Linked DNA regions of Bombyx mori. The protein of the gene in region 2 binds, or shares a complex with, the protein of the main gene of each other region. Links are inferred from orthologs where the notes say so. Each region holds a gene or a part of one and is shown on either strand. Other genes may lie near its edges.

What was found. Proteins that work in one complex are often made in the same cells at the same time.
Region 1: DNA polymerase delta subunit 2 (region 2) and DNA polymerase delta subunit 3 share a complex: the UniProt entries of both Homo sapiens proteins name them as parts of the both the DNA polymerase delta and DNA polymerase zeta complex. The link is inferred for Bombyx mori from reciprocal best matches to the Homo sapiens genes POLD2 and POLD3.
Region 3: DNA polymerase delta subunit 2 (region 2) and DNA polymerase delta catalytic subunit share a complex: the UniProt entries of both Homo sapiens proteins name them as parts of the tetrameric DNA polymerase delta complex. The link is inferred for Bombyx mori from reciprocal best matches to the Homo sapiens genes POLD2 and POLD1.

Annotation. Positions count from the first base shown.
Region 1 is NC_085112.1:7,020,458-7,024,682, forward strand, and holds the start of DNA polymerase delta subunit 3, read right to left. Parts: upstream 2,801-4,225; 5' UTR 2,314-2,800; coding exon 925-2,313; 3' UTR 1-924. UniProt on the Homo sapiens protein: Accessory component of both the DNA polymerase delta complex and the DNA polymerase zeta complex.
Region 2 is NC_085117.1:13,261,836-13,266,536, reverse strand, and holds DNA polymerase delta subunit 2, read right to left. Parts: upstream 3,096-4,701; 5' UTR 2,896-3,095; intron 2,717-2,895; 5' UTR 2,539-2,716; coding exon 2,183-2,538; intron 2,105-2,182; coding exon 1,983-2,104; intron 1,908-1,982; coding exon 1,814-1,907; intron 1,707-1,813; coding exon 1,555-1,706; intron 990-1,554; coding exon 813-989; intron 680-812; coding exon 608-679; intron 516-607; coding exon 279-515; intron 197-278; coding exon 84-196; 3' UTR 58-83; downstream 1-57. Other genes in the region: uncharacterized protein LOC134199621, read left to right, coding at 4-57; meiosis-specific with OB domain-containing protein, read left to right, coding at 3,824-4,070, 4,152-4,213. UniProt on the Homo sapiens protein: Accessory component of both the DNA polymerase delta complex and the DNA polymerase zeta complex.
Region 3 is NC_085116.1:10,632,158-10,636,244, reverse strand, and holds the start of DNA polymerase delta catalytic subunit, read right to left. Parts: upstream 2,801-4,087; 5' UTR 2,653-2,800; coding exon 2,646-2,652; intron 2,581-2,645; exon of another isoform or gene 2,532-2,580; coding exon 1-2,531. UniProt on the Homo sapiens protein: As the catalytic component of the trimeric (Pol-delta3 complex) and tetrameric DNA polymerase delta complexes (Pol-delta4 complex), plays a crucial role in high fidelity genome replication, including in lagging strand synthesis, and repair.

The DNA of each region.
Region 1 (4,225 bases), on a different chromosome or scaffold from region 2:
TAAAGTTAATGACATAAAACAAGTGTAATAAGTTCTTAAAGAATCCTTCCATCCACAGAATTACAGGCTATACAGATATATAGCGTAACTGTAATAAATTCAAGGGTGCAAAGATTCGAAAACATAATATCAAAATGTATAAAAATAATGATGTTACAATCATCTACATTATCTGATTCAGATCACATTCGATAATCCTTAACAAAGCTGTCAAACATTTTTTTTTTGCGATTGAAAGATTACTGTTCTCTCGGAGGCTTTCCTAGTTTCACCAGGATAGGTAGGTAAGCAAGGGCTCAGCCAGGAGGGATCAAACTATATCTGTACATGAATATATTATGTCGGTATGTGCAATATTTTTTTTTGTTTAATATTTGGTTTACAACTGTTGGAAATTATTGGCATGAAATAATGAAATTAATGACTCGTAAGTATTAGCGATCCTAACTTGCTGTTCAAAGTCAGAACATCATCACTAGCAATAAGATTAAAATTTTGCTACCTACTTATACTTTTGTTGTTGTCATTTTTTAGTATAAAAGTGGAACTTGTAAAAATTTTCCTGATTGTTTTTAATGATAACAATATTACAAAAGCTCATCACTAGTTACTAAATTAAAAAAGGAAATTTTCAGTGTAACTGGGAAAATATTGCACTGAACTGATTTATCTTTCTTTTTTATATAAATACTGAGTATTTGATAGCAGAATTATCTCAACCTTGTCTTCCCTATTTCCATTTACCTAAACAAACTTTAGAAATTATAATGCCAACTGCGCTTATTGAAGGTTAACCTATTACATTCTGTAAGTATATAAATGTACGTAGAGAATTGGATCCTTATTAAAACAATTGAACTGGCATCCACTATATCTTGATGGTATAATTATTTTATTCCATGATTTGGTTACATAGGATGGTATTTAATTTGGTACTTTTTTAAAGAAGTTCATCATGGTTGGTTGTTTATGTTTTTGTGATGGAGAAGACTTTTTTTTTGATTGCTTTATTGGCACATTTTTCAGAGCAGTGGTTTCAACGGTGACTTGTTTTTTAATATCAACATTCTCTTTTGTATGCACTTCATCATCTGAACAACTCTCATAAATTTCTTCTTTTTTGGTTAACATAAATCCTTCTTCATCTGTATAAGTTTTATCTATGATTTTTCTCCTCTTTTTTGCATTAACAAGCCCAGGTGTTATGGTAACAATGGTAGCTGATGGAGTTGGTGGAATTTCATCTTCAGATTCACGTTCCAAAGTAATTTCATCTGCCAATGAATCTGATTTTTCACAATCACTATCACTATCAGAAACATGCAATACTCTTTTGCGTTTCTTTCCAAAAGAATTCCCCTGGTTAGTTTTTTTATTTCTTACTTTAACTTCAATATCTATTTTCTCCACTTTGATGTCTTTTTTTTGAGTTGATGCTTCATTTTTTTGTGCGATTATACTATTTACTGACTTCTTCTCTGTCAATTTAATTTCAGTTCCATTGGTTTTAGAGCTATCATCAATGTTTGTTTCTTCTCTATCAAATTTTTTTGTTATTTTTGTTTTGTTTTCAATATCTCCCTTATCTTTCTTGTTAATATCCATTTTAACATTTGGTGTTTTTGATAAAAATCCCATTATATTCCCATTAGACTTTCCATTACTTTTTTTATCAAGAGATTTATTGTTAGTAACAGAATTGTACTTTGGTGATGGAATTTCAGATTTTACAGGATCTGTTTTCTTATCATGATCTTTAATAGTTTTCACTTCATTCTGTGTATTGTGATTTTCTTCTTTAATACTGTTTTTCGAATCTTTCTTTATGGAGTTTTTCAGATTTTTCTCGGGTACTTCCTGGCTCTTAAATTTTAAAGTGCCTATTTCTTCATAAGATCTCTTTGAACAAATATTGTTTTTGACTGTACCTTTACATAACAAATAATCTTCGAAGGTGTTTATAGCTATAAATGCTGATTTATCTATACTTGTACAATGGCCGTAGCATACACTATAAATATGCTCAAAGAATATTGTACTGAATTTGTCTTTCACGCTTACTAATTCTTCTTCTAGTACAAGAATAGTTAGAAGTTTATTGTTTTTTAAGGATCCCGAGATAATGTAGCTGACTGAAAGACCAACATTCGGCTTGTTCTTTCTCAATTCATCAACAAATTCTCTCAAAAATATTTTCGCCTTATTTACATGAATGCACAATTCTTTACTAATGGATGTGTATGTCACTAAACGCCGCTCATCTAAGATTATGTTCTTTATAGAATTTAAGCTCTCTGACTTATTTTCATCCATTATAAATACAAATTCATTCAAACAGTAAACAGTTAATTTAAGTTACCTATCAATTCTTTTCTGAACTCTGAAGTAGACATGCGTAGTTCCGGAACTAAATAGTTCCTGGAACTATGTCCTCATATGGAACTATATCATTCAATCCGACTTGTCAAAATTAACATGTTCAGACAGTTCCATTTCCATTCCAAGTGTACTGTTATGCAGGAACTACGAACGCGTTGAACATGACGGACATGCGGACATGATTAGAGCATAGGTACCGCGCGGCGCGGAGGCGTGGCGCGGCGAGTCCACCCGAACGAGTCTCGAACCGACACGAGTCCACGTAAAGAGATAAGGCGACATATGGCACGAATACGAGAGAGTGAGATGGAGCGAGTGCATGAAACTGCGTGTGGAGCTCTTTCATATTACATTTTTATTAATATTGAAGTTATGCTCTACGACCTACGTGTTACAGTCGATAGTTGATTAAATTAAAATGTTTTGCTATGGATTTTGACCTTGACCATGCATCATTCCTACGAGCACTTAACCTTAAGTGTTTGTAGACCATTTCTTAGAAAATCATAATTCAAAATTCGAGAATTTTAAAACATTCACCACTTTCGCTATTCGGTATCTCGGTTATGGGAAAAAGGTTGTAAGGCTACAACGAGCTCAATTTACGTTGTATATCAGAATAACGTGGTATTTTAATTAACAACTGATAGGTTATAGTTTTCGGTGCATCGTACAATACCTACATTGAAAAATAATGAAAGTAGTAGAGTAGTTGAAATTATGACAAAGTAATTACAGTACATTAATAAATTATGCAACCAGCTGTAACAATGAACCTAAAACTAAAAACCTTACAAAATAATAATTACAATAATAATTGCCATAAGCGGCAATCTATTTTTATATAGTGCTTTTAAAAAATTGTTTTTTTAATACCTTTTTTGAAAAATATTGTGTAATTAATAATAACTTAATACGTGATTCACTACACTACAAACAGCTACTAGACTTAACATGTCCGCGGAACTAAACAGCTTCAAACAGCTACTAGACTTAATATGTCCGCGGAACTAAACAGCTACAAACTACAAACAGCTACTAGACTTAACATGTTCGTGAAACTAAACAGTTCCGCGAACATGTTTACTGGAACTAGTTCCGACACTCAAAAGAACGATGTCATGTTCAATCCAGTTCCGAACATGATTAGCGCACGTCTACTCTGAAGTTTTTTTTTTTTTAAGAGATTTTATGACCTGTTAACTAAGACCTTTAAGTCATGTCTTATTTTAATTTATATTCTTAATTTTATGAAAAATGATAATATGAAGTGAAATGAAATGAAGTTGATTAATATAAAACATGGTATGGCACGAAATGAAAAGATATAAGATGATATGAGATGAAATATAATCTCGGTAAAATGGTGTTCATTTACTGAGACGTTTTCAGTGGACTTTTTGGAGGATCCCGAGAAGCTACGTCTAGCGGCTTTGTTTCATTTTTCCACATTTGTGCCCTTTGACAGATATTAAACAGTTAATAAACCACCGTTATTACACATTTAAATCTGAAGAAACACTAAATAGACAAAATAAAACAAATCACACAACTCCACTCCTCGCCTTCCCGCCGAAAAGTTTTTTTTTTATTCCTTACATGGTTAGATGAGCTCACAGCTTACTTGGTATTAAGTGGTTACTGAAGCCCATAAATAGGTATCTATAACGTAAATGCGCCACCCACCTTGAGATATAAGTCTAAGTTCTCAAGTATAGTTATAGCGGCTGCCCAACCTTTCAAACCGAAACGCATTACTGCTTCACGGCAGAAGTAGGCAGGGTGGTGGTACCTATCCGCGCGGACTCACAAGAGGTCCTGCCACCATAGGCATAGTCTAAAAGTC
Region 2 (4,701 bases):
AAGGTTTTGGTATATATAGCTATACTGAAAACTGATATAATAAATTTGTGCACTTAATCAATTTATTCCAAATTATATGAAAATCAAGAAAAACTCATGCTGTAACATTCCAAATTTGCTAAATTGATAATTGCTATCGATTTAGTATTACAAAAATCTGGAATTGATACTATTCTGATGCGTTGCCCTTCTTCTCCTGAAACCAATTATGTTTTTAAATTTCTTGTTCTATTAAGGGAATATTGCCAAGAATTTTTAATTTATAGAATGTTTCAAACCTTCATATAAGGTAGTTCCAAATTCATCAGCATTTCCACTAAAATAAATAGCTGGACAGTTATAAATAATAAATGGATCTGTATCCACACTTGGGGTACAAGGTACCGTATCAGGACATGTTGGTGCTAAATGCCTCCATTCCAATGTTTTTTTAAGTACCTCTTGACTATTATCTAAGTTACTATATCTCATTATATCCTTTACTGGCTCTCCTGAAGTACCTAAACATAACAACCCTAAAATAAATAATTATATGTTTCAACCAAATTCCTCAGTTAACAGTAATAGTAAATGATATATTTTCATAATGGCTAGCAATGATCCTTACCTCCTATTTCACATTCATAAGGATTAGAAACACGGCGGAACGATTTGTATTCAGTAGCTTTAGGGAACAAACCTATAATAAGATTATTATGAGTGTAAATTCTTTAATTTCCAGCATTAAATAGCAATTTTGTTCTGAAAAAGCCTGGTAAAATTATTAAGTAATGATAATTTTAAGCTAACCTATGGATAAAATGGATACTTACAGTAATGAAAAGGTTTTTGTGGTAACATTACATCATTAGGATCTTTGCATCCTGGCATTATGTCTAAAGGAGCCACACCACTAATAGCTGCTGCCAATGAATCCACCAATTCTGCTGACGATATGACATCTGATTCATTTAGAACACTTTCATCTGAATGATTTGCAAACACTCCACCTAGGAATTAAACATTTTACGTTCTTTACTTTTTGTGTTAATATTTGTTTAAGTTAGTTTATATTTTTCTATAATATGTATTTTTTGTGTGTACAAAATTAATATAAGTCTGTTAACATTTTGAACTTGCTAACAGTGCTTGTTACTCTCTGTTTCGGCACTCCTCTCCGTTTACCAAAGTAAATTATGCATGCATAGATTATTCCTATTAAAGTGAACTGCCATATAATGCAACTATTCAAACCAACATGGTATGTATGTCGTTGGTTTGAATAGTCACTACTTTAGACATGATTGAAATCTCGATTATAATGTATTTGGTGACTATGTTACACTACAACCCAGAAACAGCATTAGTAACTTCCCAAGCCAGCACACATTATACTTCTAAATCCTTACTTACTTTATTTATTTATTTTATCTATTTATAAGTTTTTACTTGATTATTAAATGTTATTTATGCCCAAAGAAATAACTTTAAAACACTAATGGAGTTTCATACAATTTCATAACATACATACATACATAAACATGAACCATTTTAACTTTTAAGCTTATAGTTTACCGGCTATTATAACTCGTACAATTTTAGAAACTTCTTCTTGATAATAAGATGTGCCTGCTAATCCTGACATCCATTCCAAAAATAAGTGCAAGGACAAAATTTGATCTGCAGACTTTGATGCCATATTTAAACCCGACATAAGTACTATGTATCTAGAAGGGAAAAAAATCAATTAAGGGAATGTAGTTTATTTTGTTACATACTATGTGAACCTTTAGCAACAGTGATTTTTATCCAGCATATAAGTTGATGAAATAACCTGTCTTCATTTCTAACTGGAAGTGGTTTTTGTATACTGCAACCAGGCCAACAGACATCTTTAACAGTAAATATACCATCCTCATCTTCAGATCCTATAATGAAAATAAACTTTAGTGTTTTATTTCAATCATCATAACATAGAACAGATGATTATGGATTTTAAATACCTAAAATTGCACATACAACTCCAGTGACTACTTGATGGATATCTATAACATCGCTTACAAGTTTGATTCTTTGCAATTCATCTTCTAACACAAGGCTATCGGAATCATGGACGAAATGAGTCCTAAAAGATAGAATTTTTAATATTTCAACATTACCTTTTAATTAAACAGCATTTTATTAAATGTAGAGTCCAATTTACCTAGTTGGTTGTGGTATAATCTCAAGCTGATCTGAAAGCTCTTTCAGAATGCTTGGTTTCAATTCTTGCAGTTTGAACAGTGTTCCAATTATAACACAAGAGGTACCGCTTTCACGTAAATCACAAAGCTTTAAAATCTTGTATTTATTTGACCACTTATTTTTTATCAGCGGAGTCAAAATATTTCGGAATGTACATAACCTAGCTGAATATATATGGGCGTACTGCTTGGAAAAATCTCGTGGTGCTTCATAAAACCGTGTAGAACTATCAGTGTAGTCAACAATTTGTCTCTCTAGATCGTGGGAAGAGAATTCCTCATCTGCTGTTGATTTCGGCGATACTTTTAAAAGCATCTTATTGGTGCTTAAAGTTTATGTTGTGAATGAATTTCCTCTCTTAGCTATTCGACTTATTAATTTATTCACTTCACTTGTTTTTTTAGACCTTCCCCAGACTTTTAATAATTCTTTAGCTTCAGTTATTTTTTCATTAATTTGCCGCTTTTTTTAAAGGGATTTTATGACCTGGTAACTAAGACTTTTAAGTCATATCTTATTTTAATGTATATTCTTATTTTTATGAAAAATTATATTAAGGAGTGAAGTGAAATGAAATGAAATGAAGATGATTAATTTGAGACATTAATCAATTAGGATGAAATTAAATCAAATGAGATGAAATATAATCTCAGTAAAATGGTGGTCACTTACTAAGATTTTTTCAGTGGACTTCTTGGAGGAAACCGAGAAGCTACGTTCAGTGGCTTTATTTTATTTTCCCACATTTGTGCACTTCCACAGATACTAAACAGTTAATAAACCACCGTTATTACACATTTAAACCTGAAAAAACACTAAATAGACAAAATAAAACAAATCACACAACTTCACTGCTCGCGTTCCCGCCAAAAAGTCCTATTAGAATAAATTTAATAACCATAGATAATACACTTAATTTAAAACAACACGTTGTACGCAATGCAGCCCACCGGTGGGCTAACGTACTATACCATTTGGGCCAAGCTAAAATCAGAAATGAGTAATTTTATCAACTTGAGATTTTAATTCTAAAATTCATAAAATGCAATAACTTCCACGGATGATAAAAATTACCGTCTAGTTTATAAGATATTTTAAGATGTCTTGATAAAAACTACAATTTTCTATTGGATTTGAAAACCAACGCGTTCGGCTAGGCTAAAGGGCCACGCGGCTCACTTCCATTTTGTTTGATTGGTGCAATCTGTGGCTTGTAAGAAACGTTTACGTTTACGTTGTAACCCTCACGCGGCTCACAGGTGACTCCTAATGGCCCGAACGGTTCAGTAAGATAAGGCTCACCGGTGAGCAACGTGGCCTGAATGAAAATATCGATTTTTTTCATGTGGCGTTCAACGTGTTAAGTGAGTTTAAATTAAGTTTTCGGGACACATTTACATTTGACCTGGTTTTATAGACTATGACCCCTTCGCCCATTAAAGTGGAAAATGCAACTTATGAAAGCAGTTTGAAGCGCCAAATTTATTTCAAAAATATTATATAAGATACCTACCTACCTACGTACCACACAAACTAATCTAATCAACTAATACAAATTTTAACTCTCCTTATTGTTGTGGTGGTCTATTTAAATATAAGTATGGCTGGAGTTCAAAAAGTTTGCCTTAATGCTTTAAATATTAACCAAAAAAATGCACTCATATTGGGTATCATAATAGCTAAAAATAGTCCTCGTACCATCAGTTCACGGAGAAAAAATGGGGAATCTAGAGCCGTTACATCTTTCACATTGAGAGATTCAGAAGTCGATACAATCAATATTGATGTGTGGGGTTCGGAATACTTTGTGTTTACTTTCTATGAACGTTTTCTCGTTGGTGACATTGGTTAGTACTTATCTGTAAACATCTTAAAATAATAAAATCAAAATCCTATTTTAAATCCTGTTTTAAATTGTTTTCTTGCAGTAGAAATTACTGCACCCAAGATATGCATTAAAACTGGTGAGAATGAAAATTTCAGACCTCAGGTAAGCTATTCATGAAAACTAAAGTATTCGACATGAAATAATATAATAAATACCTACTTAATCAAACTAGTAAATAGCTAATATTTGCCCGCGAGGTCGTCCGCGTGGAATAGTCACTTTGGCATAACGCTAAATTTTACCCGCGACTTCATTTACGTGGAAAGTGAAAATATTTTTGAATAGTAGAATGTTAATGAGCTATTTAAGGTACCAAAATCACGCTTCTTAACTGACTTCAAAAGAGGAGGTTATCAATCCGACCACCTTTTCTTTTCTTTTTTTTCCTACCTAAGCTGATAGCCTTGAGAGGCTTATACCTATCAACGTCGCCTTAACTAGTAGGTGAGCTCACGGGGCTCAAACCTAATGACGTTGCTAACACGAACCCTAGCAAGAGTCGTGCTTCGCAGAATCTACCACCGGATCGGAAACGCGACCCACTGAGAAGATCCGGCGAGAAACTCAGTGGGCTGTGTCAGAGGGTTAAT
Region 3 (4,087 bases), on a different chromosome or scaffold from region 2:
AGCTCCATCTGGGTCTCTGTCTATGAGCAACTTCTGTAAACAAGTGCTCATTACATTAGAAACAAGAGGACAATTGTCTCTTCGAACAGTTTCAATACCCTTGCAATCCATTTTGTCATATTTATCTGGTCTAGTAAAATAAAGGCCAGCATATCGTTTCTTATTAATGAGTAAGTATGGGTAGTATACTTTCTCAAATTCTAATTTTATAGGTTTTACAAACTTTGCTGTAACAAATTCAGCTGCTTCTTTTCCTAATTCCATACTCTCTTCAAGAGTTTTCACTCCAAACTTAACCATTACAGAATCAGTATCTCCATATATAACAACAGCATCTTCTTTATATCCATTAGCTTTAGTGTATTTCTTTTCTACTTCTGACTTAGTGAATTCAATCATAGTTCTGCCATAAGCAGTGACACTACCAGATATTTCTAAGCATGGTAATTTTCCTACTTGAGCACCTGTAAATCCATAAACAGAGTTTGCACTTATTTTCAAAGCCAGTTGTCTACCATCCAGAACTGACCTTTTAAATGGGTCTTTTTCATCCTTCAAGTCTGCCTTTGCTTTTTTTCTTGCTGCGAGTAGTGATTCTAGAATTTCTGGTAGTAGGCCCTTTCTGATGTGATTTTTTACAAACATGTTTTTTGAAGGTGTTATAGTAACATCATTGTCAGCAACATTAAATTGGTTTTGAGCATTAGGGGGAACTAAAGTTGTATAACATAAATTATGTGCCATCATGATGCTCGGGTACAAAGATGCAAAATCTAAGGTTGAAATAGGGTCGGCATAGTATCCTCTTTTGGGTTCAATAACTGTGGCTCCTTCATACTGATCATCAGAACCTTGGCTATGGTATACTGGCATTAAATATCCAGCTTCTTTTGCTTTGCGTAGTAGCTGACTGACAACTTTTATTTGTTGCCCTCTTGTTAGTAAACAAAGTAAAGGAACACCAGTAACTCTAGCCATTTCCATGTGATTAATGATACACATTAATTTGTTTAAAAGTTTTAGTGGGAGGTAAGCATCTTTAAGACAGTACATTGCCAATCTCCTTCTGGTTTGTTCACTTTCATTTTGTAAATCTGTGATTATACTGTGATGCACATCTTCTTTCTGCTCTTGAAGGAAATGGTAACTGACAGCATTCAGAGTATATGACCTTAATTTGTAATCACGAACTAATACCAACAATAAATCAAAAGGAACTCGTCCTTCAAAATTAATGGTTTTATTTTCTCTTCGACCCATCTGTTTCGATTGCAAGACTGTATCTTTTATAACAGATCTTACATTTTTTATTCGTCCCAGAAAATCAAATTTTTGCACATTTAAATGTTTAGCACGATTTATAAGATATGGCCAGTCGAAATTGCTAATATTATATCCAGTAATGATATCAGGATCTAATTTGCGAAAAAAATCAGACCACTTAGATAACATTTCAGACTCTGATTGAAAACTAAGTACTTGTGAACCTACAATAGGAGCACATGTATTCAATGTAAATACGTTTCTTAAATATGGTTCTGTTTCACCTTGTCTTATGACCATGGATGCAATTTGAATTACAGGGTCATGTTTAGCTTCTGGGAAAATACCTTTTCTACCAGCACATTCAATATCAAAACTTAATATTCTGAATGGTGCCACTTTTGACCACTCTCCTTCTGGTGGATGAAATATGAAAGCATTCCATGCCACATCCACTTCAATCTGACATCTAGATTCAGGCTTCACTTTTGAATCTATTGTTCTTAAAAACCACTTCCCAACAGGTAGTTCAATCCAACTGCATCCAACAATTGAAGTATCAACCATGAAACGTATATCAAAATCGATGTTTGTTTCATAAAATTGAGGATCCATCAATCCAAAAGATAGAGGTTGCCTTTCGATCAGTCTTTTGGCAGCAGCAATTAATTTTGGCAGTGCTACTGAAACTCTTGCAAATGTAATATTGGAATCACCTTTGTAATACATAATTGATTTGGCCTGTACTAAACGCACTTCAAGGACACATTCTTTAATATTATCTTTATTCCCTCTTAAATCTTCTAATATTGCTTTGTTAAGATTTGTTTTCATTTCGTTACAAGAAGATTCTGTAAAATTTACTGGTACAGTGACATAAAAATATGGTGTAAAACCATGTACATGACAGCAAACAGAGTTTCCCTCTGAAGTTATCCCGTACATCCTCATTATAGGTACGGGAGCCAATTGGGAGCCAGGCATGCCATTCATTGGTGAGCCATAATAATGATCAATGTCGAGTTGTTGAAATATTAATGTTTCTCGGTTTGGAGTCAGTATAGGCGGTGGAGGACGAGACCATTTCATATTCGAAGATTGATTTTCAGGTCCTTCACCTTCAAATATTTCTTGGCTGTCAATATCACCAGTGTCCATACAAGCCAGTTGTTCTTCGAAACTAAATGGAGTATCGTTTTCATCGTCATCGTCGCCAGATTTAAACCTCTTTGGAGGAGGACCTTTAGTTTTATTCCTGTCCATTTTGTCTGTGTACAATATTGTTTTAATTTAGCTTGCTTTTACGTCCTCGTAATTAACATAGATTAACTACCTAATTGTGCACTGAGATTAACGGGAGATAAATTTAATCTTTCACTTACTTGACATGGAGGTTCTATACCTTTAAATAATATGTAAGCACTACTTTTTAAAATTTAACGTAATTAAGTCAAGATTTTTCAATCAATCTGTAGGATTTAACGCGGGATTTTTTCAATTTAAGAACTGTCAAATATCAGTTCAGTGGTAGTTCTACTTTTTCAACTGGAAAGGCAAAGGTATTATACCATACTGCCTAATCTATACTAATATCTAAATCTACAGTGGTTTTTATGGATGTTCCGTTGTAACTACTAATCCATGCATCCGATTGACTTGAAACTTGGTATCCATGTAGAAAATATTTGTCTGTTATAGTTTTTTATAAAGGCTGCACATAACTTTTAGGACTCTTGCAAAAAGACCACTAAAAAGATGTAAAAAACCTCCATTTTACTAATATTATATTTCATCCCATATCATTTCATTTCAATTCATTTCATGCCTATTGATTAATGTTCCAAATTAATCAACTTCGTTTAATTTCACTTCATATTATCTTTTCTGATCTGATTTTGTACCTGATCTACGCACTAAAGATAGACATTTATTATTTTTAGGATCTCTATTGAAACTCTTTAATATCCCAGGTCTGTAAAATATAGTTGAGACTCAGTTTATGTAGGCGGCGACATTAACGTGGGTGATTTGTATACGCTCTAGTAAACACCTTAATACTAGATGGCTCTTTGGGCCCTCTACGACAGAATGAATAACATAGACTGAAATATCTTTAGAATTTATTATTTGTATTCGCAAATGCGGCGCAAGTTTGAATTGCAGAAGCCTACCCGTGTTTTAAAATTTCAGTATATTATTCATTATGTTTATAAAAACGTATGTTTATTATAATGGATACTAATCACTTCTGTTCGTGCTCGTTCGACCATTATCACTGAAAAAGAAAATCATTTAGAACATAGTGAAGATAATGCTAGGTCCTAAACATTAAACTATAATAATATATGTAACAGAATACAATTAAATGAAAAGTATTATTTTCTACTAATTAATTGCTTGGAAGTAGTTACATTACTTAAAAACATTTTACACCAGAAATTCAATAGATAAGGTCTGCGGGATATGTTGTAAGTACGGCGAACTCTTCGTCGCATTCAAAGAGAACGGTGACCGATACTTAGAACGCACTTTGAGAGGGCGGCACGACATAAAAAGCATCTTGTCGTGGCCGCTGGAAACTATATACCCGACCCTGTAGACCGAAAAAAAAACACGTCATTAGATCCTTCCGATCCATTAATGGTGCTTTTAGGTACACAAGCACCGGTCACCGTCATGGCCGAACCTGTCGCTTGCGACGAAGGGCTCGACGAGCGAATTAACCCATAAACACAGCCCACTGAGTTTCTCGCCGGATCTTCTCAGTGGATCGCGTTTCCGATCCGGTGGTAGATTCTGTGAAGCACTGCTCTTGCTAGGGTCA